Alligator mississippiensis: one gene and its partners. The protein of the gene in region 2 interacts with the protein of the main gene of each other region in a pairwise test. Links are inferred from orthologs where the notes say so. Each region holds a gene or a part of one and is shown on either strand. Other genes may lie near its edges.

Region 1 (7,474 bases), on a different chromosome or scaffold from region 2:
GGTCCCGGGCCAAGCCTGCATGAGTGGATGGCATAGATTCATAGATGTTAGGGTCGGAAGGGACCTCGATAGATCATCGAGTCCGACCCCCTGCATAGGCAGGAAAGAGTGCTGGGTCTAGATGACCCCAGCTAGATGCATGTCCAACCTCCTCTTGAAGACCCCCAGGGTAGGGGAGAGCACCACCTCCCTTGGGAGCCCGTTCCAGACCTTGGCCACTCGAACTGTGAAGAAGTTCTTCCTAATGTCCAGTCAAGCAGCTATGCAACTTGACTTCCGAACAAGCTAACTCCCTCAAGTTGTGACGTGACCAGGCGCTGCAGTCTAGAGTAACGCGTGCGTGTGTGATTCATACTGATAAAGCCCCAGACCCCTCAGGCTTAGAAGCAGGAGAAATAACACCTTTCAGGAATGCATCTGGGATCCCTCTGGGGCTTGGGTGCTATATTAATGAGAGCCAAGAAAGAATGTAAAGAGAGCAGACATCAAAGGAAGCCCTGGATAAGTTTCCAGCAACAGCTTATTTTTTTCTCTACCCTGCTCCCTGTTTGCAGGCAGCAAGTCTTGTGTCATTTGGAGGCAGGAATTAACCATGAGTTAGAGGAACAAATGGTGGCTTGTATTTTTTGGAAAAGACAGATTTAAGAGAGGGTCTTGCAGAGATTAGATGCAATATTTAAGGGGATGGATGCAAGGCAGATGCTACCAAGCTGCTTGAGCTGGCGTGAAACTTGTGAACGAGGAGGCATGAAATTAACTGCAGAAGAAATAAGCCCTGCAGGGATTTCAATGGGGGCTTCTTTATGCAGAGAGTTGCAGAGATACAGAGCAAGTTATAACAAAGCTGGGTGCAAAGAGCAGCCAGACGAGGACAGTATACTGGGAACGGGAGCAAGAGGGCATGGAAATTGGGCAGCCACTCTGCTTCCTCCCTACCATGGCTGACGGTTTGAGATTCATTTAGGAAGCTGCTACTCTGGCCCTCGCTGAGAAGGTTTAGGGATTTCCTTCCCTTCGGCCCTGGGAAGGATTAAATCACATGTCTGTATTTGGGGTTACTGAAGAACTGGTCGTTCTGCCCGTACAGGCATCTGTATCATCATCTACTCGCCGTGGCGTTGGAGGATCTAACAACACACACAAAATGGATGGGTTGGTGGGTGGAGGCACGCCGATGGTATTTGGGAGATCTGGCGCCACCTCCGGATTCTGCCGCAGGCTGTATGCAACCTTGACCTACTTGTGCCAACCTGTAAAATGGGGAAGGGTGATCTCTTCTTTCTGCCTTGTCTCTCAAACTCACAACACCTATACAGCACCTAGTACAAGAGGGCCCCGGTCCATCTGGAGACTGCTCTTGTAATAGCAACAATACCCACGTCCAGAAAGCAAGCAGCAGACAAACAAATCAAAGGCCAGAGTGTCTGTCTTTAGCCTGGTGGTACTACACTCTTCGGCAGACTGCCTTTCCATTAAAACTGCAGCCCTGTGAGCTTCTGCACCTTTCAGTCCCACTCCAGCGCATTTGTTACCTTCCCCAACACAGCGTCAAGCAAGGCTTTCCATAGTTGGGGTTCAACATTATCATCTCAATAGGTAAATGAGCCCAGAAACATTGCCACCACCGTTTGCACCACCATTTTGCTTGGCAGAAGCAATCCTGGCTTTTTTTAATGCCTTGTTTTCACCTTACCCACCTTCAGACCCTCCTCCATGCCCATACCCATGACAGGTCTAAATTGCCTTTCCCAAGTATGGAGCAAGAACAACAGGGACCGGACCCCCGAATGCCAAACTGCCATACCCAAAGTCAGTGCCCCGTCAAAGTCCGTGCAAGATTGCTGTGCCTTGCACCCTTGGCCTCCCCGCAGAGTCACGGGGAGAGAGCAGAAAGGCAGTGACCTAGTACTGAATCAAGGGAAAGAAGAATAGGAAAGGGCAGCCAGGAGCATTACCTCTTTCCCTGCTTTCTCGACCTCCACCGTCACCGTGCTGTGGTTCTTGTGCTCCTGGAACATGCAGAGGTAGCAGATGCACATCTGGTCTGTCTGACAAAACAGCTCCATGGTCTTCCCGTGCACCGGGCACTTCCTCGCCTCAAAGTCCCTGATGGGGTCCAGCAGCTGGTGATCCCGGAAAGCGGCACCCTCCAGATGGGGCTTGAGATGCAGGTCGCAGAAGGAAGCCTGGCACACCAGGCAGGACTTCACGGCCTTCTGCTTGTTGTCGATGCAGGAGTCGCACAAGACATCTTCCAGCTTCACCCTGGGCCTTGACCCAGCCACACGCTCAGGCCTGTTGAAGTTTAGTTTCCTCAGGTCCCCGGTCTCTACAAAAGGGAGAGACGGCTTCTTCAGGTCCCCAAACTGCGAGCTAGGAAACAGTGGCTTCCTTCCTTCCCCATCAGTGGCCAAGAAGTTCTTCTTCAGCTCTGCTGCCAGGAAGGGTTTCTTGAAGTCCCCCTTTTCTGTGAACGAGAACGGGGGCTTCTTGAAGTCTCCCAGCTGCACTCCCGAGTACGGCAACTTCTTGGTGTCCCCCGAGTCCATGCTGAAGTAGCTTGACCGCTTCTCATCGGCGGACTCCACCAGCTGGATGATGGGCCTCTTCCATTCCCCGCCAGGGAAGAGAGAGCTCTTCACTTGCCCTGTCTCCAGAGACGAGCCCCCAGTGCTCTTCACCGTCTCCTCTCCCCTGCTGGGGCTGGTGGGCTTCTTGGCTTCCTCTCCATTTTTCTTCGGGCTGGACTGGCTCTTCGCATCCTCTTGTTTCACAGCGGTGCCGTTTGTCCTGGCTGCGCTCCCCGTTTCCATTGCACGGCAGACCAAGCTGGCTCTTCTCCACCGCTTGTTCTCTCACCCTCGCTCCTTCCTCAGCCCCTGAGAAGAGGGTAGGTCTCTCCACTGGCTCTTCTTTCTGAATTAACCTTGCCAGTTGTCTCTCCGCAAGGAAGGGAGGTGGATTGGAGGCAAGGCTCTGCTAAATGACACACCTGGACGTACTGGGAGGGGGAGGAGAACACCTGAATTGTGCTGGGTTGAGGCAGAGAGAGACGTAACCAAAAGATGAGACTTTACAGCTGTGCTGGCAATTATTTCATGCAGTCCCCACCCAGGAACCTTCCTGTCTAACCAGGTTTTTGGCGAGGGGGAAGGGTTGTTTATACACATGAGGATTAAAAAAAATAACTTTCATTAAGCCACAGCAACCAGTTCTGCCGCTTGTGTCGTCCCTAATTGCTTCTCGCCGTCGGGAATGGAGAGGTAGGCAGGGTTGGCAGGCGTGAGATCCACAACATGGGCTTGGTAAGTGGGTCATGCCCATGCACAAAAATAATTAGGGCCATAATTAAAATTAATATGGAGAATAACATGCATTAAGCTGGGATCTCCAAGGTTCAGCAGGCTGAGCGGTGGAGGGAGAGGAAGGGGAATGGATCACGCTGCGCGTGATTGACCCTTGTCACGTGTTTGAGATGTTGGTATGATTCAAGTTGGAGCCGTCCACAGTTTTAGGTGTCCCAGCGATGAACTTAGCAGCCAGGAGGACGTGGGAGAAACAGAGTAAACATGAACCAAAGCATGGGTGGCCACTTACTTTTCAGTGGAATATGTGACCGTCGATCGTGTGACCAACAGACCTTAAAAGCAAAGCCCCCGTCCACCTTATTGCATTGCAGTCATGGAGAAGACTCTCTCTTCCATATATACCAGCTTGCCACCCATATTCACCCCAATAAAAGGGCTTTGCAGTGGGTCTGGATGGTGACTAGATGTGCCGTGTTTCAGACCTTGATGGTCACAACTGGAAACACTTTGCAGGGCGAATTGAAAAGATTAATCATTTAAAGGGTTGAGCATTTTTTTTCCCTGTTTAATTTTCACCTTTTTACCCAAATGAAATTTAAGAAAAATATTTAATTGAAATAAAAGGAATAGGAATTTGGAGACGCTTCGTCTCTCTTCCCTATGCTCTTTCCCTGTTTTTTTCTCACTGCTAGAAAACAGGAGGAGGATAGAAAACGTGAAGACACCTACGCTGTTTCCTCTTGATTCAGATCAAATAGAACGGTTTGCTTCTTGTTTCAATGAAAACCCCTTTGAAAGGTACCCGCATGTTTGTGATAAACCAGCAGTTGCATCTCCACTAGGTGCAGATGCAGGCATTGCAAAGGCCCCTGTGTCCTTGGGCGGCTTTCAGAGACCGACAGGCACTTGTACCATCTCAGCTCTGATTTCGCTCCATTGATATCAATGGAATCGCTCCTGGTTTATAGCTAGGGAGTGAAAGGACAGGCCAGCCCGAAGACTTGCTTAGTTTCATTTTATAATAAAAAGGGGGTTTTGCTTTGGGATGGGATTGTCCTTTTAGTGTCTCATAATAAATAAATATATTTATTAGAGCTCTCCAAACCGCGAGAAGTGAGGGCTCAGGTCTGTAGTGTGCAGCTGGTCCCTAGCACAGCTGGAACCACGGCCCTTGGTCTGAACGGTCTAAACTTTGGGTCCGAGTCCTGAAATGAGCTTCATGGCATGAATTGTGCCCATGCAAAGGGACGTGGGGCTAGGGAGAGCCCATTGGAAAGCAGCACAGCTGCTCCCTCGATAAGGAGGAAGGATTCCTAGACACCAAAGTGCCCTTCTCTGCAATCGCAGACTTCCAGCTCTGGGTTTCAACCCTTTTTAGCCTCTTCCTGAAGAGCAGGAGCTCTCGACTGTGAGGAACCCAGCCCAGACGATGTTTTGTTTAATGGATGTGAGCAAGAGGCCCCTTCAGCAATTTCTAAATACCAGGCTTTTATTAGTGGGACAGCGAGCCCTCCCTGCATGGACTCCAGCTCCCGGTGTACGAAAGGCCAATGCCATTTTTTACAGAGCAAATCTTATTAAGGGAGAAAAGATTGAATTTTCCTCCCTTCACCTCCTGGCTTCCTCAGCTGAGCTGCTCTTTTCCAGCAGCAGCCCCGGCAGATCTCAAGGTGATTAACAAATGTTCCAGGTGGAGTAAGTCTGCACTCGCGTGTACGAGGGGAAAATCCGCAGAGCCTTTCTTAGTGCTTGAGAAAGGGGAGAAGAAAAAAAAGCACGCGGCAACTTGGCTCAGGGAAAGGCAATTTAGCTTCCATCGCTCTGCGGTCACTGGTGCTAATAGAGTCTGGGCCTCGGTAGGCAGTGCAAGTGAATTAAGGGCTTAGAGTCTGATCTCGGTTACACTGATGTAAATCCCAAGCACCTCGGAGCTGAGTACAGCTAGTCTGGACAGGCTCCAGCGTAACTGTGTTCAAGGATCCGGCCTGGTGCTCGCTCCTCACCGAGATGACCCTGCCCTGGTCTTGCAAACGCAACACGAGGAGATGCTTGTGCCCACGTAAGCTACCCACATGGTTCCTCAGCAGGATCAGGGCCCTCCAGCAAGTTGGGTAACGTCTGTTCTCTGCCTTTGTCCACCATGGCTAATTCAGCTCCTTCATTAGTAGCAATCATGGGAGCACTGTTTCAGGTTGTCGCTGGCATCGTAACCAATGGCACCCAAAGCTGGTTCTGTTTTTGGTAAAGCCCCAGCTCCTGGAGTCAAGTGATGACGTGCAGAGATGCATCCCAAAGGCAGCTGGGTGAAGAACCCCAACATGAAGCGGTTTATACAATGGCATGGCTTTTAAGTCAGCCTCATATTTGCGGTGAGAAGCTGGGCGTCTGATCTGGAGAGCAGGGGAGCCTGCCTACCCCGTCCAGCCTCTGCAGGCCGTAGCAGACTCCCGCACCGTCATAACCGGCCCCCCTTGGGCGTTGCCTGCCTTGGAGCAGGGTGATAACTAGACCTGGATAAGCAAGGGCTTAAGTGCATCTCTGGAGCTGCCCTGTTTCAGGGCCTGCTGCTTTCAAAGGGCTGTTTTTCCGCAGAAGACAACGCAGGGAAAACCCACTCTCGCTCTTCTGTCTTCCACTTCCTTCGCACCTCGCTGCACCCACTTTTCATGACCCGTTGCCAACCATGTTCCCGCCAGGTCCCGCCCTCCCTCTCCCTGTTATTCTTGGCTCTTGCTGGGATTCGCTCCTGTTTGCACTTGTCTGAAACACGAGCTTGTTTGATTTTTTTCGGTGTTGTTTTCAGGCATTGCTGTACCTGTCTTGAGTTGCTGGGTATCCGTGTCTGAGAAGGGCAGTGGGGAACAGTAGCAGGTCCTAGTAGCTTTCTGGATGGTTTGTGTCTCAGCTCCCCAAACTGACTGGCAGGATACCACTGCCAGAGTCCCATACCGGCTTTACTTTGCATTTATACGACTTGTTTAAGGCTACCTGTACTGGTGTCTTACAGAGGATGGAGAATGAGGTAACATTTTAGGACTTGTGTCTTTTGTATAGCCCGTTCCTATGCTTCCTGCAGGGCAGAGCGCTCTCCTATGCGGTGCCCCATGGTAGGTCTGGGGCATCTACGAAGGTTTTTCACAGGCTACGCCCATTTGTAATGCAGGGCAAGGCCCTGATTCATAGTATACACCCATACTTGGAGCCTTTCAAGCCTCCTCCGTGCCTTTCATGTGGGGACCTTGGATTCTTTTGAAGGGATCAATAAACGAAGCTTCACAACACCTCTGCAAAGGAGGTCAGTGTTACTAACCAGCACAACAATTCGGGAAACTGAGGCACGGGGAGGTGCGCTGGCTAAAATCCTTGTGTTAATAAATGGGGTCAGGCCTGGGTGGCTTTGGGGATGGTGCCAGGTTTGGAACCGGCGATGATGCGACTGCCCTGGCCCACAGCTATTTTCATACACGTTTTGGTGATTGCTTTCCTCCTCTTTGATTTTTCCGATTTGGATTTTGCAGTGCTCACTCTCACTGGGCAGCAAACTCTTTGTGTGTTGTTCATACTGCGGTAGTACCGAGGAACACCCATCCTGGGCCCACAACCACGTGTGCTAGGTGCTGTCCAAATGCATGCAGGGTTGCTTTTTTAATTTGTTTCCATAAGGGACATATTTTTGGCTTGCTTGTTTATAAAAAAAACAAACCGTGGGGAGCCAGACCAGGGACAGATCAGTCTGGTTTAAAATGAACAGAATGAAAAGAGTTGAAAAATTCCCAGGCTGCTTAGAGAGAGCTCTCCTCCCCAAAGCAGATTTGCAGACGCCGAGGCCAGATAAAGCCACTGGAAGGCAGTGGGAGGCTGGGTGCCAGTCCTAATCCATAAGCCCCTGGCCTGGGTCTTTTAACAACTCAGTGGCAAAGTTCAGCAATTCGGGCTACTCATTGCCTCTTCTGTATTAGTCATTAGACAACCTCCCCATACACCCCTGTCTCCAAAACACCTAGTATAGCCTCTCAGCTGTGAATCCCATTCAGGAAACCTAATATACAGATTACAGAGCCATCCCCAATGCAATCAGGGAGTATATAAACCAGTCCATCCAAACCAGGCACTGATGATCAGTGACCGTGAAATACTGCTTTTCTCAGATCCGTGGTGCAGTGCCT
Region 2 (7,807 bases):
TACCAGCAAGACAACTGGGAAGAGAAATTCGAAGTATAGTCTGTAATGAGAGAGAGAGCAACTTGGAAATCAGTCTGAGGCCCTGGGCATTGTTATCTGCAGCCTCCAGGATGAAAATCTGTAACAGCTACTCAGTCCAAAATGCACTGGTGCATGCAAAGAAAGCAGAGAAAGGCACTTGGGACATGAAGACTAATGGAAGAGTAACGTTTCCATATTCACAACAGCACAAACACAGCAGGTATGGATTAGGCCCTCATTTTGAGATTAGCCACTGACACAGAAAAATTATTCGTACATCCTACCTCAACCTGTCCTTGAACAAGCATCAATTCTCTTTCTGATGTGTCCATCTGATAAGCTTAATATAAATTATATTTCCAACGTGCTGCATTCAACCCCACAGGAAAGCACCTGTCAAGTGCTCTTACCATGCTAGCGCTGCTCTCCCATATAACATCCCACAGAAATACCCCACTTGCAAGAGCTTTGTGCCAGGCACTGCAAGTCTCTGATGGGAGAGCTGCTGCATTAATATGCAAGGAAAACTACTGAAAGTCTTATTTTATCTATCACATCATGCAGGTTTCACAGCAGAGTCCTCTACTCCACCTGGTGATTAACATAGTTATATCTATGGGTAGAGCAAAAAGAAAAGGATGCAAGGCAGGTATAATGATATGCTGGACTTGAAAGCTTAAGGTGAAGAGAGTTGTGGACACTATACAAGTTGATAGGTAATTGAGGTTTTAGGAAAGCAAGAACTAAGTACTTCCTGAATCATCATGTTTTATTTTGCATTTTCTGTGTTTCTATCAACATTTTAACCTTCTTTAATTTATGAGACTACTTTTATGAAACATGTTGAAAATTAAAAGGCTGGTAGAAGCTTGCTCTCTCATACTTGTATTTTATTATAGATAAGAATCTTCCCAGTCCCTTTGCTGCCAGAACTACAGGCAACATGAAGACATTAGAGCTAGTTAACACTTGCTACAAAGTATCTGACTTCCTGCCTAGACAGATTTAAAACCATGCTACTTGCCAGATTGCATCACGTGTGCAAATTTCATCACCTGTCACAAAATGAGCTGGCTGGAATAACTACACAGTTTACTTAGGGCAACTGCTTGATTAGAGATGAGCAAGAACATGTCCTTCAGAGATGAGGCACTAATAAATAAAACAGCGACATGCAAACAGGAAGATCACAGATCTAGAAAATAAACCCAGTCTGTGGCCCAGTTTGAACAATGTTTTTATATGCCCCATGCCGCATCTTTGTGGGAACAAAGTGTATGGGGAAAAGGAGTGGCGAGGTGTTTACTACTCATACCATCACCCAGGATCCCCGATACAATTCCAAACTGCCTGATCTCACAAGTCTATCTTAAGGGAAGCTGGTACATTTCACATCTTTGCGTTTTAAACGTGACACAAATCAGAAGGAAACACACAAGTAGGAGCAACAAAGAGGCACATTAAAAGGAAAAAAAAGCTCAAGGTTAATGAAAACAGCAACAAAACTCAAGCAACTGACAACAAATATGCCTGAATGAAGCTTCATCCAAAAAAATCGAGAGGCAGTTTAAAGAGAACTTGAAGCATGCAGTAAGGACAGCAAACTAGTCAGAGGGATGCCGAACACTGCCTCACCTTCCTCTTGTCCAATGAGGGTATGGCTACCCCATTGGATCGATTAAGGTCTGACACCAGCACCTTCAGTATGTTCTGAATCTAAAGGAAGTGAAAGAAAGTGGAAAGAGAAATGGCTCAGAAAGACAGAGTGAGACACCAATCAAAAGGTGGGCTGCAACCAAAGGACCTTGCATTCACTCTCCCTTTACCGAAATGGATGTCGAAACATAGGATCAATCTTAGAAAATGAGGGCTGGAGGGGACCTCAGGAGGTCAGATCTAGTCCAATCTCCTGCTCAAAGCAGAACCAGCCCCAACTAGATCATCCTAGCCAGGGCTTTGTCTACCTGGGTCTACAAAATCTCTAAGGATGGAGATTTCACCACCTCTCTGGGTAGCCTGTTCCAGTGCTTTACCACTCTCCTAGTGACAAAGTGCTCCCTCATCGCTAACCTGAATGTCCCTTGCTGCAACTTGAGACCCTTGCTCCTCGTCCTGTCATCTGCCACTCCTGAGAACCGCCATCCTCTTCGTTACCCCCGCTTCAGGGAGTCCAAGGCGGCTCTCACCCCTCATCTTCCCTTCTCCAGGCCAAACAAGCCCAGTCCCTTCACTGCTCGTGTGCCCCGACCCCTCACATCCATGTCAATGTTTTTCTTGCTGGGGTCACTTGATCCCAGCTGACTTCCTGCCCATGGCAGGGTGGTGGGGGCTGGACTCGATCTCACGAGTCCCTTCCAGCCCCCGATGTCTATGAAATCTATGAAATCCACACTGCGCACTCTGGAGTCAAGAACGGCTTCGCCAGCGGACCCGGCCCCAGCCCGTGGCGCCGGGTCCCGTTAGCGGCTGCGGGGTGCGGACCCCATCCGTCCCCGGTGTGTATCACGACGCAACCGGGCAAGCGCGGGACACTCACGTTCTCGGGCGACGGCCTGTCCCTGTCGTCGGCACCGGTCGGCGTGTCGGGCCGGCTGCCCTCCTTGTTCTTGCGCTTCTTCTTGGCCGCGGCCACGGGCCCGGGGCTGTTCTTCTGCTGGAACTCCTTCAGCTGCGGGGGAGGCGCGTCACCCGGGGACCAGGCCCGGGGGGGGGGGGGGCGAGGCCCGGCCCGGGGGGGGAGGGGAGGCCGAGGTGGCTCGAGGAACAGAGGTTTAAATGGGGGGGGGGGGGCCCGGTGACAGCCGCCGCCGCGGGGGGAGGGGCTGGTGCGGCCCCGCCCGCTCGGCCAAGGTCACCGGTGCCCGAGGAGGGGGCCGGAGCGGGGGGTGGGGGCGTTACCTTCTTCTTGGCCGCGGCCAGCTTGCTCTGCCGGCTGCCGCCGTCCGCCATGGCCGCCACGTCAGCGGGGGCAGGCTCCGCCCGGCACCAGACACCAGGCACCAGGAACCAGGCAGGCGGTGCCCGCCCCCGCGCGCGTGCGCATGCGCGTGCGCGCCGCCTCTCCCGCTCGCGTGCGCGTGCGCGCCTTCCCTCCCTTGCCCCGTGCGCATGCGCGCTGGCGTTCCCCTTCCCCTCCCTAGTGCGTGCGCATGCGTGCGGCCCGCTTCTTTCGTCCCGCGGTGTGGTGTGCTCTCAGCCTTGGGCTCCTCCTCGGGCCTCCCCTGGCGCGGGGACTCCGGCCACCCCCTGCTCCTTGTTTAGGAAAAGGCACCTGTCACAGGGCTCAAAAGGGGGTTGCTGGCAAAATGCCTCCAGGTCCTGAAGGAAATATGCCATATTTGTTGCCAGGAGAAAGGCAGGGCTGGGGGGGAGACACACCCAGGCCTCATCCTGCTTCATGGCGGTGGTGAGCTCGTGAGGGGACACAGTCACACCTCTGCCTGGGATCTGTGCAGCATATCTCTGCCCCGTCTGCCCAGGTCTCTCCCTTGGGCCTTTGGGATATGAAGCAGGTTCAGGGGTCGCCTCGTACAGTGTTAGGGTTGTGGGGTTGAGGTGGTGGGTGGTATAGGATGGTTTGGACAGGACTCATCCTGCCTCAGGCGGGGTTTGGACCAGATCAGCGGTTCCCAATTTGTGGTATGGGTGCCACCAGTGATACGCAGACCACCTGTCAGCGGTACGTGTTAACAGATTTATTATCATTACTTTATCCGACAAAATTTGCTGATGGTACGTAAGGTTGAACTGAAAAATGTGCCGGTGGTACTGAAGGTTGCATCGTTTTAAATTAGCGGTGCGCAATCTCTCAGAGTTTGTGAATGGCTGGACTAGATGGTCTCTGGAGGTCCCACCCTTTGTGATTCTTAGCTGTGTGCCGGGCTAATTTCTCCAGGAAACAGTTGTGCCTTACAAATTTAACCTGGTGTTTATCCAGTCTTGTCAAATCTCTCTAGGTTTCTCTATCATGCTTGAGCCCTGCCTCTGGGATTCATGGTGTGTGGAGGATGTTGCTTTTTTTTCTGGATTGAATCTTGAATTCTTGGACCTCCCTCCTTTAGCTTATTTCCTTTAAGCGGAGTAGGCCAGATCAGGTCAGTAGTCCGTTGAATCTGTTATCACTGCCTCCAGCATTTCCTCAGGGGTAATGTTTCAGAGAAAGATGAGTGTCACCACTGCACATGCGGTATGCTCACACAGTTATACCGGGGTAAAGACAGGAAGGAAGCTCTTCCTGACATGTGCCTAGTGCAGTGCAAATGGTTTTCTTGTCTTGCCCTGGGTTTGTATTGCAAGAAGAAATTGAGAAGCACTAGTGAGAACAGGAATGTAAACATCTGTATAATTGGGTGTGGTTCAGGTTTTCAAGCACTGAGAAATGTGACTCATTTTAAACTTTGGTTCTCCTTCAGCCAGCTGCTGTTTTTTTAGTATTTGCCTGTATTGGACATTTTGTCCAGTTGGGATGTTGAGATGTGTGTTCCACCAGGGTTAAACTTGGGCATAAGATTTCAGAGGAATGCTCAAGGGCTGCAAGTGGTGGTATTGCAGCAGGTGTTTCCCTTTCTTCTAAGTCACCATTGAATCCAGTCAGACATGGTATGGTGCGTGTGCTGTATGAAGGGTGGTGATGATGGCACTCTTTTCCTTTGAGACTCAGTTCTGAGTCAGCTTCTCAAGCCTATTAAAGGATTTTGTGCTTAAAGAGATGCTGCCTTTTGGATGAAATGCAATATTTAGGTTTTGACCACTTTGAAAAAAACAACAGTTATGGTATGTTTGTAAGAATTGGAATTTTAACCCAGGTGTCCTGTCCTCATAATTATTTGGATAGTTATAATCTGCACCAGCTAAAGTTTCGGATGCTGTTTCCAATGGAAATAAATATTTTTTACTATTAACTGTTGTGGGGGTGTTACTTTGTGCTGTTAAATAGATCTTTGTATTTTACACCAGAGGTTGCTGCATTTCAGTGGTGGGTAAAATATGTCATTTGTATATCAGCTGTTTATAAAGTATTTTTGTAGCCTTCCAGGTCAAAGTTAATATATAGAAATACTTTGGTAGAATACAATAAGTTACAAAAAATGAATTTTGTTAAAAACAAAGTGCTTGGATACAGGTATATTTTCTAAGCCTTGAGAAATTTAAAAATGAAATAGATACCACAGGACAGGTTGTCTTCTTGATTTTTGTTTTAAAATTTCTCAGGGAAGCTAGCAAATAGTATGTTCATATCAATCGATTTATCCTGCTTCACTTATGTGATGAAGACTAATTATTTGTGCAGGGAATGTTAGTCAAGCACACCAAGATGAGCACTACCTAAATGATAAGTATTGTTACATGTAACAGGGGTATAGGTTGTAGCTGTGTTGATTTAAGGACATAGGGAGACAAAGTTCTTTGGGTAAATCTGGTATTTTTTATTAGAGCAACTCAAATTTTGAAGTGTAAGAATAAACACTTGACACAAGCCTCAAGTGTCAAGAAAAATGCTTGAAGAGCTGTCAAACTACTATGATGTAATTTTCCAGCTTTCTCTGTTTCTGCTGTGCTCATGCCAGCTCTGTAGACATGAAGAGTTAGACAACAGATACATAGCCCCCCACAGTGTTTCTTCCTACAAGTTGCATGGTTTTGGAGGATTAATGAAATAATTGCTTCTGGGTCTCTCTCCCAGTTATACATCAATGGATGTTGTAAAGCTCTCTGAATTCACTGAGAAGCAAGTAACATGTACAGGTGAGTTTACGAGCTCATCTTCACATTCTTGATCCTGTTCTTCCTTAATATGTAAACTTTAAACTTGATTTGTAATAGCAGTCAGTAGGATTTTGCATACTTTGAAAAATAACTCTTGTGTCTTGCACTTCAGAAATCTTAAATCTTTTACTTCATTGTGTGAGACTCGCATAACGTCTTAGCTCTGAACAAATAAGAGGTTAGACAGCGGACTCAAATATATGGTTTGGATAGGGCTGAGCCTGCCTCAGGCAGGGCGTTGGACTAGATGACTTCTGGAGGCGCCTCCCAGCCCTACTTCTCTATGATTCTGTGATAATAACTATTACCCAAACAGCCACAGTTACACGTCTAGTACCAGGCCTTATCTTATCTTTGGTATATTTTGCTAACTGAAGGTGATTTAGAGATGGCAGAGTACAGAACCTTTTCAAAATTAAATCGGAGTGGGAGCTGTTTATAAAAGGAAGCTGAATGCAAGATAAAGATCATGCAAGATAAAGATGGAAAAGATCTGCACGACTGTGTGACCATCTCAGTCTGTGTAGTGTTTCTGCCTACGCTCATGATGATTGGATGCAGGCTGGTTCTGCAATACTCAAGCAATGTGGTTTTTGTCACAAGGCAGACAGTGAGGGTTTCTATCTAATACCCCCTGCTAGGAGAGATTGCATGCAGGCTGGTTACATCTCTAATCTCTCCTAGCAGGTTCTTTCAGTGCATGTTATATATACTGTAGTAGTGCTGGACACATCACAAGGACTGCACCATTACAACCAGGGGTAGATCTAGGATTTTAAAAAGGGGGGTGTAGCTGGTGCATCGCATCATCACATATAACATCTATTTTTCTCCAGCTAAAGAGAAATCAGAAGCTTTACTAGTTTGCTAGGGGCCTCGTGCTCTATTTTTCAGTTTAAGATCAAAGTGAAAACAAACAAATCTGTATTGGAATGTGCATTAATCTGCTGGGTTATATATAACGCTTTAAAAAGAACACAAGAAATGAGGCAAAAAAGGTTAAAAGATGCTTTTTAATTAGTCCTGAAAGTTAAATGTCCATGTCTTTTTAGATTCACTGAACAAAACCTGGTTTTCCTGAGTGCCTTGACAGCACCTCAGCACTTCACTGGGGGTCATGTCTACACCTGAGATTATATAACCACACCTAAGTGAAGGTTTTTAGCCAGAGCTAAAACCAATCTACAGCGCTGTGAAATAGAAGAGACACAGGACCAGGAATGGCAAACAGACTGCAGCATTGCAGAAGAAAACATAGGTTGCACAGTGGAACATCAAGACCATTAAAAAGGTCGTTCACACCTATGGGATGAAGAGACATTAGCAGGAAACAGGTAGATGATCATGAGCGCTGAAGTCAATTAACTCAGTGCTGCCTGACCCAAAATGCCACTGCCCCTCCCAGGCAGGTGGTGTTACAGTTTGGGTAGAGCAGAAATCAAAGGGAAGGGGGGCGCAACTGCCCCCCACCAGATCCGCCCCTGAATTCAGCCCATTGCTTCTATCCTGTGCTTATTCCAGGACCCTAAACGCAAGTGACAGGGAAGGAGCAAGCTCGAGCCTTCCCCCTTCTTCCAGAGGAGAATCCAGGCCCTGGCAGCGGTTCACCAGGCCAACATGCCTGCCAGCCCCTAGACAGGCTGCAAGAAACCCTCCGCGCCCCGCCCTGCCAGCCCCAGGCAAGGTCAAGAAACTACAAGCCCCAGCGGGCCGAGCGGCGCCAGGCCTCCACAGCCTACATGTCCCTACAGTCGGCTCCCCAGGCGACGGGCCACCAGCTCCCGGTATTCAAAGCGGCGTCAAGCCGCCACTAACTACAAGTCCCAGCAGCCCCTACAGCTCCCAGCATGCAAAGCGGCGGGGAGACCGCGCGGGCAGCCCTGGATGCCCGCGAGCCCGGGGAGCGCGGCGCGGCGCTGCGGCCATTCCCGCGCCGGTACGAGCTCCCTCCCTGCCCCGAGGGCTCCGCGCCTGCTGGGGCCACTGCTCCCTCCCCTGGGCTCGGGGGGTGCCTGGCCCT
Region 3 (7,445 bases), on a different chromosome or scaffold from region 2:
CATCACCAGAGCAGGGGGCAGCTCACAGCACCCTCCCGCTCATCATTTATCATAGTGGGACCCAGGTTTTTGGGACCAATGATTGGTTGGATATAAGGTGTAAAAGGTTGAGAACTACTGATATACTTCACTTGGCTGGGCCCCAGCAGAGTCAATAGTATTTCAAGACATGATAACTCCACAGCCCAGCACTGCTCAGTGTTTGTGTGTGTACTCCAGATCCCCCCCAACAAAGGATTCATCTGCTAATAAGCACCTCCCCACCCCCACTTGTGACTGGAAGTAGGTGTTCTTGTCACAAGTCCTGAAACCCTCCAAAAATTTACATGCAGATGGAGTGCAGGGCTGCTTGGTCCATCTCTACCCCCGTGCTGATTGGGGGCGGGGGGGGGGATCATTTCTTATATTTAAATAATTATAGGACCTCTTGTTAGGAAAATAAAAAATAGCTGAAAGCCTGTCAAATAGCATTTATCTGTGTCAAATAGTCACCCTCACTTTGTTATTTCAGCAGCTTCAAGTCAGTAGTCTGACTCCAACCTATATTACACAAGGTAGCATGAGTGAAATACATATAAGGGTACAATAGATCAGAGCCGGTGAGAAGGCCTGTTGTCATAATATGGCAGGATGAAATGTTCAATCCCTTGTTTTCCTGAAAAGCAAATTCACTCCTTGCTCCTTTTTTAAGAGCTCTGTTAAAATCCCAAATTTACAAATAAAAATAAAGTGTTTCAGTATTTACCTATAGGTAAACCCAATACGTGATCTGGCGATGGAAGTCGAAACCTGAAACGCCTGGTATCATGGCTGATCTCCTAGCGATAAACAGAGAGACAAAGACCTGAGTATTATAACAATTCATAGAGCAGTGCAGCATTGCTTTGGCTTTGGAAAACAGCACAATAAGCTTCAGTAGTGAATCTACTCTCCATTTACATACAAGCCAACTTTGAGACATGAAGTACAACTGGTCTGACAGCAATCTGCCTGATCAAGACTTTCAAACCTAGTTATAAAGAACTTGATACTAAAGACTCCACTAACCCACAGTGAAAATGGGAAGTGAATTTTGCCTAAGTAAAAAAAGGCTACACGAATGAACCAAACCTCTTTAGCCCCTCTATCATCATTGTATACTGGACACATTTCCTGATGTATGGTAGGATTTCCAGCAAGACAGGACATGTAAAGGCACAGCCTTCCTCAAGACAAATTTGCAACTCCAGTTTCTCACATATATAAAATTAAAGGTTAGGATCTGTATAGCCAAATAAACTAACCCAACCATTTGTAAAAGCTAGCTGAATATTAATGTAGGCATAATATTTTAGGAACCAAATTAATATAGTAGGCTGCTTGCAGAAGTGGAACCCCCCCCCCCCCCCCGCCAAAAAAAAAAAAACAACCCACAAAAACGGTGCTTTACTTTGAACTTGGTACATCCCCGCACCGAGCCCAGCACATGCCCGGAAGAGGCATCGTATTAGCTGAACCCGGCTTTCCCAATGTCTGTATAGATCAGGCACTTTAGTGGGCTTTTTTGGCACTTTTATCTAATAGCTGATTGGATCAGCTATTAAAGTGCCAAAAAGCACCGCTGAAGCATCTGATCTATACAGACACTTCAGAGCTCAGTCGAAGTAATAAGCTGCTGCTTCTGGTAAAACAGGTTTTTCATTTTTTTTCCCCCACATCTGTCAGCACCTGTAATGTCTGGGGAAAAAGATTCCAAGATGCTTCAGCTTTACCCCACAAATGTATTATAAACATTTGGAAAATAGAGGATCCTACGCTAAGTGATGCAACTTTAGAAACATGCATAGAGAATAAAAAGGTTACCTGGCCTCCTCAGGCCCTGCTTTCCCTACCAGTAAGTAAGAGAGGAATATTAATATTAAGCTTCTCATAGAGCATACTAAAGCATGTGCAATTAAACACTAGCCCAAACTGACAACAGCAACATCCGCCTTGAACTTTGGAGTGCCAGCTTTAAAATCTGACCTTGGAGCTGAACCTAGAGCACAGCTGTCCACCACCCCCATCCTGTCCCCCCTTGGGACTTTGAGCTTGCTGGTTTTGAAATCTGTGGCTTGAATGTATGTCTATAACAGTCAGTGAAGCGCTCTCTGGTTTTTCGGTGGAAGATGGTCAAGATGATTAGCTTGTAGTAAGCCAGCTGCTCAAGCAGTTCCCCAATACCACTTGACCCTGCCCCTTGGTTCATTCCAACCCGTAGGACTTTGATCAGTGTCAGAGGCAAGAACAGACCCCAAATCTCAATGTCAGCCCCATGCTCTCGCCGCTCGGCTGCATCCCCTCCCCAAGACGGTGTGGACTGTCTTGTGATCAGAGTCACACAAGACAGTCCTAAAAGGAGGCCTAAAGCAGGGCCCCTGGCATGTGGGCCAGAGCGCGGCACGTGAAGGCATTTTGCTTGGCACTCGAGCCGCAACAAGGAGCCGGCCCCTCACGGCTCCCCTGCCCCTGGCACGCCAACATTATAAAAGTTGAGGCCGCGGGTGTTTTTGGCACTGCCCAAAACCGCTGCCAACCCCTGGCCTAAAAGAAGAGCCTGCTCACCTCTTTCTCCACCAGGGCCAGCGGATACTTGGCATTGGGATCCCTCAGCGCAATGGGGGCGCGCGTCCTCGCCGCCTTGAAGACGAGCAGCAAGACCGAGGCGCCCACGACCACCGCCGCAACGAGCACGGACACCTCCTGGGGACAGCGGGGCAGGAAGGGCCGTGAGGGTGCCGGGATCGCCTCGGGGGTGCATGGGCACGGGCCCTCCGGGCGCCAGGCGGGGCTGGCAGGCAGAGGCAGAAGGGCAAAAGCTGAGGCTGCGCCGGGCGAGGCACCGCTCCCGACACCCCGCTCGGGGCTCCCGCCGCCCGCCCGCGCCCCGCTCACTGCGCTCAGCTCCATCGCGGCCGGCTCCGTGCTGGGGGCGGCCCAGGCGGCCGGGCTCGCGGCGCCACGACACTAGACGAGACCGCACGCCGCGTCTGCCGCTCGCCCCCGGCGCCTCTCTCCGCCGCCCTTCTCCTCGTGCCTTCTCTTCTACCGGCACCTGCTGCCTCCCCTCCCGCCCCGCTTTTCTTCTTTTTCATCTTTCCCTTTGTCACCGTTTGAGGTAAAGGGCTGCTGTTAATGAAACCGAGGTACGCGGGAGATTAACGCCGTGTGTGTGTGTGTGTGTGTGTGTGTGTGTGTGTGTGTGTGTGTACACACACACAAAATGCAAAATCTAGAAGTCTTGATTCAGAGATGATACCTTTTATTAGACCGACTAAGACATTGCAAAAAAAAAATAAAAAAATCTGCAAGCATTTGGGCTCTCACACATGTATACACGCACACGGGCCTGTGTGCGTATGTATGTATATAAAAATGTGTGTGTGTATATTTATTTATATGTCAGTATACGTGTGTATAAATACACATATACACACACACAGATGCATATAAATATACACATATAGGCACATAAATACACATATATGCATCTGTATACATGTGTATATATATGTGTGTGTGTGTTTATGTCTGTGTACGTGTGTTTGTGTGTATTTGTGTGTGTATATGTGTATACATATTTGTGTGGGGGGGAGGTGTATAATAAAGTTATACAGTGTAGCTGTACTACTTAAATTTCACATCACAGTAATTGATTTGTAGTGTACATATAACTATACACACACACACACACACACCTGTAGACTTAATTTTTTTTTAATGTAAATGAAACAACTCATGGAAGTAATTTTATTTTTTTTTAACAAAGTTGCTCTACACCCACATATATATATATATACACACACACACACACACACACACACCCCCCATACATGCATACACACTCCAACACCCAGAAACTAACCCAACCATTTGTAAGATCTAATAGAATATTAATGCTTGCATAATATTTTAAGAACCTAATTAATGGTAAAGGCCAGGCAAAATAGATTCCAAGATTCTTCAGTTTTAAGCGTCAGATGTCCCACAGATGTGTTATAAATATTTGGGTAATGGGAGACTGTTAATTTTGGGTGTCCAAAGACCTGATATTCAAAAATTATTGTTGCAGTTTATTTAACATTTCATCTGTTCAGATCACTACTGTCCCTGACTTTCAGTGCTGCTGCGATTCAGACACGAAGTGTTTCAAGTTGGCTGTACAGAAAACGAGGAAAATACATTGGTTGAGGGTGAAAAGCTTGATTTAAATTACTAGACTTACACTGAATCACTGCTTGCAGTGTCTGAGCTAGCTGGTGTATCGCTACAGGGTGGTGCACTGTGGTAGGTTAGATATATTCTAGATATAAGGGAAGGGATGCCGAGAAAACTTCCCATTGTGTGTGTAATTATGAGCATCAGTACAAGACAACATAAAGCACAGAACCCCCCAGCCGCGTTAATTCTTCACTTTGCAGTGAGCAAGCTTGTAAAGATATTGAAAAAAAATCATTCAATTCCCTTGCAAGTGAGAAGTGTTGATTACAAAAGAGAAATACAACCATCCTGTTTCTCAAACCCCTCATTTTCATAGTTTCTATTATCTTTACTTCCTTGTTCCCTCTGTGTTCTCTCACCTGACTGAAAAGCAAGAGATTTAACATCAACATACTGGTCAATATCCCCATTTCTCAGACTGCCAGAGGACAGAGCTGTGCTCTGGAAGATTCCCTGGCTTACATATAGTCAAAAAGCCTGAGGTTGAATCGATTCAGTCTTTGCAGGTTAGTCTAAGCTGCACAGGTTAAAGTGACACAGAAGTGAACATAGGCAGACAAGGTTCCTTGGGTGAATTTGATATCTTTTATTAGACCAACCCAAATAGGTGGAGAATATTTATTAAGCAAGCTTTCGGGTTCAAAAACCCTTCGTCAGGCTAAGGAAGTTTCAGCAGTTGGTGTGTGCTCTTCCTGGATGGAATGAAAAGCAAACAAGCCAGGGGCTGGGCTGGGCTGGGGAGTCAGTTGCCAGGCAGATTATAACGTATCAAAAATCCAATGTCTATATTTAGCCCATGATCTCTAGTATCTAGGAGATCTGGGAAGTGTTGTGTAAATTTTCCTGGAGGATCAGGACTGAGAGATTGGAGAGAGAGTGGCCCTCCTGTGAGAAATGTGCCCCCACAGGTAATTGCGTATTTCTGTCTTTGATGGATTTCCGGTGTGCATTCATTCTGGTGTGCAGTTGTTGTCTGGTCTCTCCTACATATTTTCCATCAGGGCATTTGGTGCATTGGATGAGGTATACTACATTTCTGGAGGTGCAGCTGTAAGATCCTGGGATGCTGATGGCTCTGTTGTGGGGTGTAGTAATAGTGGGGGTGGTGGAGATGTGTTGGCAGGTTTTGCATTTCTTGTCCTGGCATGGTCTGGATCCTTTTGGTGTGTTCTGGGCTTGAGGAAGCTTGCTTCTGGTGATGAGGTTGGCGAAGTTCGGTGCTTGTTTAAAGGCTAGGATGGGTGGCTCTGGGAAGATCTTTTTTAAGAATAGGGTCTCTGTCTAGTATGGGTTGCAATTTTTTGAGGATTTTCCGTACAGGTTCAAGGAAGGGGTGATACGTCATAACTAGCGGTGTGCGATTTGTGGGGGGTTTTCTTCTGTTTTCTTCTGGGCAGCAGTTCTTCACATGGTATCCAGGTGGCTCTTTCAAATGTGCGATTTACCTCTCTGGACAAGTGTCCTTGTTAGGTGAAAGCCTTTTTAAGATTGGTGAGGTGGCAATCCCGGGTGTTCTCTTCAGTACAAATGCGGTGGTATCTGAGGGCTTGGCTGTATATCACAGCTTTTTTGGTGTGTTTAGGGTGATTGCTGGTTCTGTGCAGATATGTATGTTGGTCTGTGGGTTTCTTGTATACTGTAGTCTGTATTTTACCCTTCTGGATACTGATCATTGTGTCTAAAAAGGAGATGTTGGTGCTGGAGTATTCTAAAGAAAGTCGGATGGAGGGATGGTGACTGTTGAATTTCTGATGGAACTCAATCAGAGATTGCAGGTTCTCAGTCCAAATGATGAAGATGTCATCGATGTATCTTAAGTACAGCAAGGGTTTGATGGTGCAGTTCTTGAGGAAGTCTTCTTCCAGGTGGCTCATAAAAAGGTTGGCATACTGTGGGGCCATTTTAGTGCCCATAGCTGTTCCCATCATCTGGAGGAAGTGTTGATTATTAAAAGTGAAATTGTTGTGTGTGAGGATGAAGTGTATAAGGTCAGTAATATCTTTGGGTCTGTATTCTGAGTTGTAATCTTGTTCCTGTAGATATGTAAGGCAGGCTTGGATGCCATCCTGGTGTGGGATGTTGGTATATAGGCTGGTAACGTTCATGGTGGCTAGGAGTGTGTTGCTGGGAAAGTGGTCTATGTTTTTAAGTTTCCGTAGAAAGTCTGTAGTGTCTTGTACAAAACTTGCTCTGTGGGTGACAAGCGGTTCTAGGATTGATTCAACGAAACCTGATATTTCCTCAGTTAGGGTCCCATGGTTGGATATGATAGGTCTGCCAGGGTTCCCTTGTTTGTGGAGTTTAGGGAGCATGTAAAAAGTCCCCGGGTTAGGTAGCGGGGGGATCAAGGTCTGTAGTTTTTCTTGTAGTCTTGATGGAAATGATTTGATGGTATTTTTGAGTTTTTTGGTGAAAAGGGGAGTAGGATCTTCTTGTAGTTCTTTGTAGTAGGTGGTGTCAGAGAGCTGTCTCTTGGCTTCCTTTATGTAATCCTCACCGTTTAGGATGACTATGGCTCCTCCTTTATCTGCTGGTTTTATTACTATTTGGTGGTTAGATCTTAGTGATTCTATGGCCTTTTTCTCTGGTAGAAAGACGTTGTTGTGGTGGCGTGTGTTGCTGATTATTTCATTGTTCATTCTTTCCCTGAAGCAGTCAATGTAGCTGTCAAAGTTAGGGTTTCATCCACTGCGAGGTGTCCAATCTGATGTTTTTTTGGGCTTTTTGGCATTGATCCTTTCCTGAATGTTGTCAGAGGATGAGTTGTTGTTGGGAGTGGGTTCAGTTTGGTCATGGAAATATTCTTTGAGGCGTAGACATCGGAAGAATTCTTCTAGTTCTCCACATTGAAGTATTTTGTTAGGGTATTTTTCTGGACAGAAATTTAGGCCTTTAGAAAGGACAGATTTTTCAGTTTTGGTAAGCATGTGTGTGGAGAGATCTATAATATTTGTGGGTTGGTTGCTGCTTTCAGTTTCATCGAGTCTGAGGTTGGAATGTTGTAAGGTGTTGGTGTTGTTCCTCTGATGGTTGTTTTGTGGTTGGGGAGCTTGTTCTTGGGGTAATTTGTTCCATTTCTTCTTTTTATGTAGGATGAATGCTGTAGAAAGTTTTTCGTAGTCTCTTTGTATCCACTTTATATTGTCAGGGAACATGCATGGATTTCTGTCTTTTAAGTTGTTGTAGTATACGGTGATTTCCTTCCT
Region 4 (7,506 bases), on a different chromosome or scaffold from region 2:
TCCCCTCCCCACAGCCTGACCGGCACGTGCAGCAGAGACCGGGAGCTGGACCCCCTCGTGCCCCACTGTGGTCAGAGGAAGACAACAGAGCGAAGGACTGGACCTGGGAGTGCAGGGGGGCAGAGAGAAGGAAGGGTGATGGGAAACCATGGGAAGACTAAGGATCAGGGCCACAGCGAGGCCCTGCCACCTGCTCCCAGCCACGCTACACCTGATCTGCCCAGGGACGCTGCTGCCCCATCAATAATTCAGCCCCGCAAGCGCGCTTCCGGCTGGAGCATGCTACTGTGATGCCCACGGGATGCCCTGTTGGAGCGGCTGAGCATGGGAATGCCCCCTCCCCTGCCGGCCTCGGGACCTTGGTATTCCAGAAGCAGAGGCCGGGGCTATTCAGGAGCTGCCAGCTCTGCTCCAGGCTGCTGCAAGAAAGGGCTGGGGGTGGGGGAAGACCTGACCCAATTCAAGAGCTCTGGGATGGGAGGGGGGAAGGGTGTTACTGGGCTAGACTGGGGGCCAACCAGAGGCAGCACAGGAGAGCAAAGACGCCAGGCCAAGACTCCTGGTGCCAGCCTCACCTCTGGGCACCTATGGGATGGATGTGGGGGGGGGGGAGATGCCCCTGGGGGGCATCACACCCATGGCTGGAAGTGCCCACTACAGGCAGTCAGTCAAGTTTGGACCCAGGGTGGGGTAAGTGCCATGCCCAAGGCCAGCCAATGAGTCAGTAGCAGAGCTAGCAACAGCACCGAGGAGTTTGGAGTCCTACTGGTGTCCGTAGCCCTGGGCAGTGCCCTGAAGGCAGAAGCACTACTGCATGCCAGAGGGGGTGCCCAGGGCACCCCCTTGGCCAGCTCCCCACCCCCTGCCCCCGCCGCAACAGAGCCTGGTGGGTCACAAGCACTGCTCTCAAGAGCACCCCCCCCCACTCCCACTTCCCAACAGACCCCAGGTGAGATGCAGGGGGGCGCACCTGGGCACCCGCTGGGCTGCAACTGGGAGGAAAGTTTGTTGCTGGTGCAGCTCCATGCGGAGGGGCAGCCGCTGGCATGGGGCAGGGTCAGGGCTCCCAGGCCTGGGCTCTGGCTGGTCCCCAAGGGACCTAGGGACATTACCTGGTGCCGGGGAAGCCCCTGGACAGTCCTGTGGGCCCGCCGCTCGCTTCCCCACACTTTCAGGACAGCGGCTCGCATGGCTCCGAGAGTCTCCGGTCACCAAGGCAACGACCCTGATTCAAAACCCTTCCCCGGCATGGCTGGGCGGGATTTCGGCACGCTTGGCCGGGTGCCAGGGCGGGGCTGGCACACACTCGCTGGCTGGAGCGGCTGTGCGGCGCGCTGCCTGCCGCTGGCACAGGGGCCACGGTCGAGGGCAGGCTGACCCACACCCGCCGTGCCTCACTGCTGGGGATCTCCAAGCATCTGCTACGCCACCCATCCCCGGAGCCTTGCTGACCCACATGCCACGGTGCCGGTGACACAGCCACAAGCCCCAGGGCAGTGAGGTCAGCAGCTGGGGACACATAGCAAGGCCCTGACGGAGCAGGCAGAGATGTGCAGGGGCCTCGGCTGCAGTATGCAGAGCCAGGGGGAGCTCCAGAGGTCCTGAGCCCCAACCCCCTGCAGCCACGCCGGCCGGGGAGCACCGGGTTTGGCCTCCGCCTGCTCTCCCAGGCAGCCCGAGTCCTGCCCCACAGTCCAAGGATGCCGGGTCCACCTGGGTCCGGCTCAGCCACCCAGAGTTGTCAGCACTAGCAGCACTAGCAGCCCAGGCCCCTGTCTGTGCCCTAATGATGCCCCCCAGCAGGGGCCGAGGCCCCCCAGGCGCAGGGGCTCGGGTCATGGGGGCCGTGCATGGCCCTCGGGCCCCATCGCGGTGCAGGAGCTTTGGATTTTCCACTGGCAGGCGGGCGGGTGAAAGCGATCCACGTGAAATCGGAAGCCGCTGGAGGGAGGTCACGGGTCCCGGGGAGGCTATGCTAACCACGCTCGTGCCTCGGCTGCTCAGGCCCAGGACAGCAGTGTCTCAGCCCCTGCCCACGCCCCAGGGATTTTCTGTCTGGGCCTCTGGGCTGCGCCAGCATCGGGCTGGGATCCCGTCCTCTCGAGGAAACAATCATCCCTGAGTGGGTCGGGAACGCTGAGCCGGCAAAGCCAGCCCGAGCACACAGACCTGTTTGGGGAGGAGGCCGCTGGGGTGAATAATCCACCTGGGGCGAGGCTGCTCCCTCCCTCCATCAGCAGGAGCTGATGCCCCAGCCCCGCTGCCCTTGGCATGGCAGGGGCTTGGTTTGTAGGCAAGTAGGAGCCGCGTTGAAGGGTGGCACGACCCAACGGGTACTGGGTGTATGGGGACTGCTCACGGGGCACAGGCCACGCAGCTCCCGGCCCCTTTCAGCAGCAGGTGAGCTCAGCACAGACACCCTCTGGGCTGCCCCGGAGCCTAGCCCAGAGCAGGCTCCCTGGTGCCAGGGCAGCTGCAGGGCCCAGTCCTGGCACAGACCAGCCCCAGTTCAGTGCCCACCCCATAGCCCCACTTCTCCGAGTCCCTCTTCCCCCCACACAGTGCCCGTCTTGCAACAGGGCCCCTTCTCTCATGAGCCACACGCAGGGCTGGACTCTCCCCCTGATGACCGTGTCCCCCCGCTGACGCAGAAAGCACCTCTCCTGACAGCCCCCCAGCCAGGACCGAGGCAGCCACCTCTGGGGTGAAACAAGCAGCTGTGGAAATTCATTTCCAAGAAACATAATATGAGCTCAAAGCTATGGGGGACGGGGGAGGTATCAGCCAGAACATGTTGCAAGACCACAGAGGCCAAGCCCCAGCGTCAGGCTACATCTGAGGACATCGATCATGTGCCAGTGCCCTGTCCCCAGGCACTCCTGTGCCTCTGCCCCGTGTCGGGAGGGCCCCTCACCGCTTACCATCTAAGATCGCCACTTTTGTGCCAGCTGCCTGCTCCGCGGAGCGTCCCGGGCTGTGTCACACCATCCTGGGCCCCAGGACTGCAAGAGACCAGACACCTGTCCTGAGACCTCGAGGTGGGAGGATCCCGACCAGCCCAGCTTCTCTCTGGAATAATTCTCGGTGCTTTTATAGCACCTGGGACTTCAAAGGCCGCAGCAGGCCCCAGTGACTCAGGCAGGCCTCCACCCTCCCTGGGAGGCTGCCGCTCTGTCATTAGTCCCATTGTGCAGATGGAGAAGCTGAGGCACAGACACATCCGGTCCACAGTCATGTGGCGAGGGAGAGGCGAGCCTGGGAATGGGACCCAGGAGTCTTGGCTCTCAGCCCTCACCACTAGACTGCCCCGTTCCCTCTTGAGTAGTCTGGAGCTGAAGCTTCAAGGCAGGAAAGTGTGCCAAGGCCTGGCAGCCCAGAGATGCCTTCTGTGAGACAGGCAGGGGCTTGGCTCCACCTCTGGGTGAGGAGAGAGGCCTGGTCCCCTCAGACAACCCCCAAGTGCTCCAGGAGGTTGCAGAGCTGGCCTGGAGGTGCTGGGCTGCACACGAGGGCGGTCACTGAGCCGGTTGGCTGGGCATGACGGAGGGGACCCTGTGCCTTCCCAAACCTGCTGGCAATAGTGCCTGGGCCACGGTGCCAGAGCTCTGTCCCCACCCCGGTAACCTTGCCGGGGGATGCTGCTCTGCTCCCTGCACCGACACTGTCCCCATGGACTTGGCTTACCCAGCCCCAGTGCTTGCTTGCGCGCTAGAGCCATCACGGCACAGGCATTTCTTGCTTACCCAGGTGCTAAAGCGGAGTCAAAGCCTCAGAGACACAATGTCCCAGCCTGGAGGTTACCCTAGATCTCAACAAGCCGTACCCAGCACCACGGGGCATCCGCTGCCTCCCGGGGCAGGGTCACCTCCGACCAGCGGACGGCTGCTGGGGGCTGGGATGAGAGGGGGCCCGGCGAAGCTCTTAGCAGGGTGGGACACCAAATTGAACCCCTCATGGACCCACTCCACCCAGGCCTCCAGGCTCGGGGAGAGGGAATGCCCCTCTCCGAGGGTCGCGAGGGGAAGGGCCTGTTTGCTGCCGGGCCGCGAGGTCTGTTATGCCAGGAATTCCTTGCAGCCCGTGGGGTTATCTGGGGGCTGGGAGCTGCCTGCACGTTTCCCTTGCACGAGAAGCTCCATGGCCCAGGGGACGCTGCCTATCAGCGGATCAGCCAGGCACCTTAACTCCTCCGGGGCTCAGTGCAAATCACCTGCTGGCCCTGCTGGCATGACTGGGGGGTGGGCACAGACTGCACGTGGTCTGTGTTGTGGGGCCAGATCCACAACTATCTTCTGGAGCTGGAGCCAGGAGACACAGGATGAGCTCCTGCCCTGGAGCCCCAGCTCTGCTCCCTGCGTGCAAGGTGCCCAAATCCCCATGGCTCCCCTCTTGGGTGGCAATGGGCCTTCTCCCACCCACACGTATCACAGAGCTGGCCAAGGCCCCAGCTTTCAAAGCCCTTCTCTGCTCTATTTAGCAGCACTTCCAGGGGCGGCTTTCCGGTCTGTCCCCTGGGTCCCAAGCCGAGACCTACCAACTCAGGTCACCTGCTGCCTAGCAGCAATCAGAGGGCACCAACCTCCGCTGCTGAAAGTCCAAGCTGGCTCTCAATGCCCGACGCAGCCAGCCCCCTGCCCAAGCTCTCCACAGCCCGGTCAAACCCACTGCGTGGCATGGACTGACACCCAATGGCCAAGGGGGACTTGGTGGGACTGGACGACAAGCAGGCCAGTTTTGTGCCCAGCGGGCTGTGTAGGCGAGTGGAGGATGCTTGGTTTTGGGTCGAACGACAAAGAACAAGCAAAGGATGGGTGCCAGGAGCTGCTGCCATGTCCTCCCCGGGCTGCTCAGCATCTTCCTTTCCAGGCAGCAGTGAACTTGGCTAAGTCTTCCCTGAACTTTCTCTGCCTCTCGGGGCCCCAGAATTAGTCCCGTAAGCCCCGAGCGGGCCCGTACGCACCTGCGTGTGGACGAGCAGGGCCGGAGGGTCACGGTTTGTCATGGGGCGACACCGGAGCAGCCGGGACGGGGTCACGTCGGGATCAGTGAGGTGCTGGCTCTGGCGCGCAAGCAGAAACCCGATGGCTACTAACCTGTTTGCGGGACAGGACGGGATGTCTGCGCAGACGGCTCTGCTGGGGACCAGGCTGGAATGGGCCGAGGGCTGAGCCGCTGCGTGAGCCGCTGAAGAAATTCTCAGCTCAGGTTACCGGCTAGATAAATATAGTGTCTTATCTGACCTCACTGGGCGCTGGAGCACGCCTCTGGCATGCCAGCCCGGGGAGCTTAAAGGGGCAGCACAGTGCACACCGGGCCCAATCCAGCGGGGCCCTGCACCCACAGAAAGAGGGCACTGCCACAGAGGGTGGGGGGCACGGGTAACCAGAGGCACCGGGGGCTGGAGGCAGGGGAGACCAAGGTTTGGAGGGCCTGGAGGGAGGTGTAAGGCAGCGAGGAGGGCTGGGGCGATGTTCTGGGGACAGGGCAATGGGACGGAGCCGGGACAGGCAGCAGGGCCTCTGGGCGCTGAAGCAGCCAGGCAACAGATGCAGGGTCTGAGTCACCGGATGGCAGGCTGCTCCGATCCTGATCCAGCACCTGCTGAGAGCAGGGGAAGGCCTGCCCCATCCCCCAGGCCACGGGGACCCGGTGCCCCTGGGACCTTCCTGCACCAGGGCGATGAGCATGGGACGGGACCCTACAAGGAGAGGCAGGGATTTGTCTGGGACACAGGGCAGGGCTGACTGGGATGGTGCAAACAGACAGGTTGGGGGGAGAGGTCACAGGGCACTTAGGCATCTGTCCCCTGCAGCAACCAGGTCCTCACAAGCGAGACAGGGCAGGCCCTTCTCAGCCGGCTTTGCCTGGTGGGTCTGTGGCAACGGGCCGGTCACCCCTGGGGCTCTGTGGGCTGGGGCATACCGGGGCCGTAGGAGGAGCCCCGTGCACAGACCCAGAGCAACATGGATCGGGCGGGACGCCACCCGCTGAGGGCTGGTCCCCAGGGCTGACGTGGGGCGCTGGCGGGCAGTGACTCAGTCTGCGCACACTGGGATAATTAGGCAGGATGCAATTAACCCGGCATTTCCCTCCCTTCTGCGTTACGGGCCAGGAATGGGGCAGGCGGCAATGGGAAAGCGCCCGGGACAGCCTCAGCCCTGGCCTCCACCCCCAGGAGGGTGACGCCAGGGGTCCAGCTGCTCCCCGCTCCGCCCTGCTGCAGGGAGGGGCCTGCAGCCTGGCATGACCCCTGCCCCTTGGGCATTGAGGTCACAACCTCCACGTGCAGCACGGCGTGGCACATGTGCCGCTGTGATGTGCCACAACCTCATGTGCACGTGCTGTGTGAGGGGCCATGTGCCCTCCTCTACCTGGCATGGGTTGGCTTGGCCCATGCACTCCCTGGCCCGCACAAAGCTGGGGGCAAACCCCAGTGGGCACCAGCCGGGGAGGGGGGGCGCAGTTCCCCCAGCCTGGGGGGCACTGCCATGGAGCAGGCAGGTGGGCATCGCCCCGCTCCCTAGGCCCGGAGGAGGCGGCTGCGATGCACTCACTTGGCTCCGGGCGCAGCAGCCAGCACCGGTGTCTAGGCGGAGCTGCCCGGGCCGCGATGTCACAATGGAGCCCGGTCCCCCCTCCCTGGCCTGGGCTGGGCTGGGCCAGGCCGGGCATCCCTGGGCACCCGCAAGGAAGACAGGGCAGGCTCGGGCATCCAGTGGGTTTATTCTGTGGCAGAGCAGGCACTGCCCCGCCGGGTCGAGCTGCAGCAAGCCGGGGACACAACGACAGCGGGCACGGATCACGGATCGGGGCCGGGCTGCGCCCCCCTCGCTGGCGCAGGGGGAGAGGGTGGGGGCCAAGGCTGCCCCGGTGCAGCCTCTCTTGCATCTTCTCGGGGGCCTCCCCTGGCCCCCATTGGCCTGGGGGCCCCAAAGCAGAGGGGAGGTGCAAAGGGGCTGCCAGCCCCAGGGAGCAGAAATTGCTGGGGGAGGAAGACTGGAGCCCTGACCTGGAGGAAGACTGGGCTGGAGCAAAACAGCTGGAAGCACGGAGGGAGGAGCGCTGGCATCGAGGGGTCCCACCCCCCCGGCCTCTGTCCTGAGGGAGACAGCAGCCAGCAGTGACGGGATGGCCAGAGATGCAGCTGCTGGACCCCAAATGAGAGGGAGGGGGTATCTACCTACAGAGACTCCCAGGGCATCGGTGCCTTGGCCTGGGGTGGGCAGCTTGGCCCTGCTCTTATTCCTGCATCAGGGGACAGAACAAGCCCCAGCTCCGGGAGATGGGAGGGGTGCGAGCATGGGCGTCCCCAGCCCGCTGAGGGGCAAGGAGCCTGCTGGCTTGCCCTGCCCCACTTTTGGGGGGCTGTGGCCAGGGAGGGGGTGTCTCTAGCTCAGAGAGGGGTCTCTCTGCAGCAGCTCTCTCTCGTCACAGCTAAGGACTGGATTCCAGGGCACGGTGGGGAGCTCAGGGCTCGGGATATCGTCTAGCCTGGACCCGGCTGTC

What was found.
Region 1: the proteins of GOLGA2 (region 2) and TRIM29 interact in binary tests that used the Homo sapiens proteins (3 or more experiments, as listed by UniProt). The two-hybrid records come from large-scale screens. The link is inferred for Alligator mississippiensis from reciprocal best matches to the Homo sapiens genes GOLGA2 and TRIM29.
Region 3: the proteins of GOLGA2 (region 2) and NADH-cytochrome b5 reductase 2 interact in binary tests that used the Homo sapiens proteins (3 or more experiments, as listed by UniProt). The two-hybrid records come from large-scale screens. The link is inferred for Alligator mississippiensis from reciprocal best matches to the Homo sapiens genes GOLGA2 and CYB5R2.
Region 4: the proteins of GOLGA2 (region 2) and USP2 interact in binary tests that used the Homo sapiens proteins (3 or more experiments, as listed by UniProt). The two-hybrid records come from large-scale screens. The link is inferred for Alligator mississippiensis from reciprocal best matches to the Homo sapiens genes GOLGA2 and USP2.

What each region holds. Positions count from the first base shown.
Region 1 is NC_081839.1:30,574,477-30,581,950, reverse strand, and holds the start of TRIM29 (tripartite motif-containing protein 29), read right to left. Parts: upstream 3,012-7,474; 5' UTR 2,814-3,011; coding exon 1,956-2,813; intron 1-1,955.
Region 2 is NC_081835.1:57,572,690-57,580,496, reverse strand, and holds the start of GOLGA2 (golgin subfamily A member 2), read right to left. Parts: upstream 3,019-7,807; 5' UTR 2,971-3,018; coding exon 2,920-2,970; intron 2,690-2,919; coding exon 2,558-2,689; intron 1,738-2,557; coding exon 1,657-1,737; intron 1-1,656. Other genes in the region: DNA repair protein SWI5 homolog, read left to right, coding at 7,635-7,723. UniProt on the Homo sapiens protein: Peripheral membrane component of the cis-Golgi stack that acts as a membrane skeleton that maintains the structure of the Golgi apparatus, and as a vesicle thether that facilitates vesicle fusion to the Golgi membrane.
Region 3 is NC_081825.1:202,271,767-202,279,211, reverse strand, and holds the start of NADH-cytochrome b5 reductase 2, read right to left. Parts: upstream 3,018-7,445; 5' UTR 2,929-3,017; coding exon 2,584-2,928; intron 819-2,583; coding exon 746-818; intron 1-745. UniProt on the Homo sapiens protein: NADH-cytochrome b5 reductases are involved in desaturation and elongation of fatty acids, cholesterol biosynthesis, drug metabolism, and, in erythrocyte, methemoglobin reduction.
Region 4 is NC_081839.1:31,067,010-31,074,515, reverse strand, and holds the start of USP2 (ubiquitin carboxyl-terminal hydrolase 2), read right to left. Parts: upstream 3,006-7,506; 5' UTR 2,922-3,005; intron 1,198-2,921; exon of another isoform or gene 1,113-1,197; intron 1-1,112. UniProt on the Homo sapiens protein: Hydrolase that deubiquitinates polyubiquitinated target proteins such as MDM2, MDM4 and CCND1. Isoform 1 and isoform 4 possess both ubiquitin-specific peptidase and isopeptidase activities.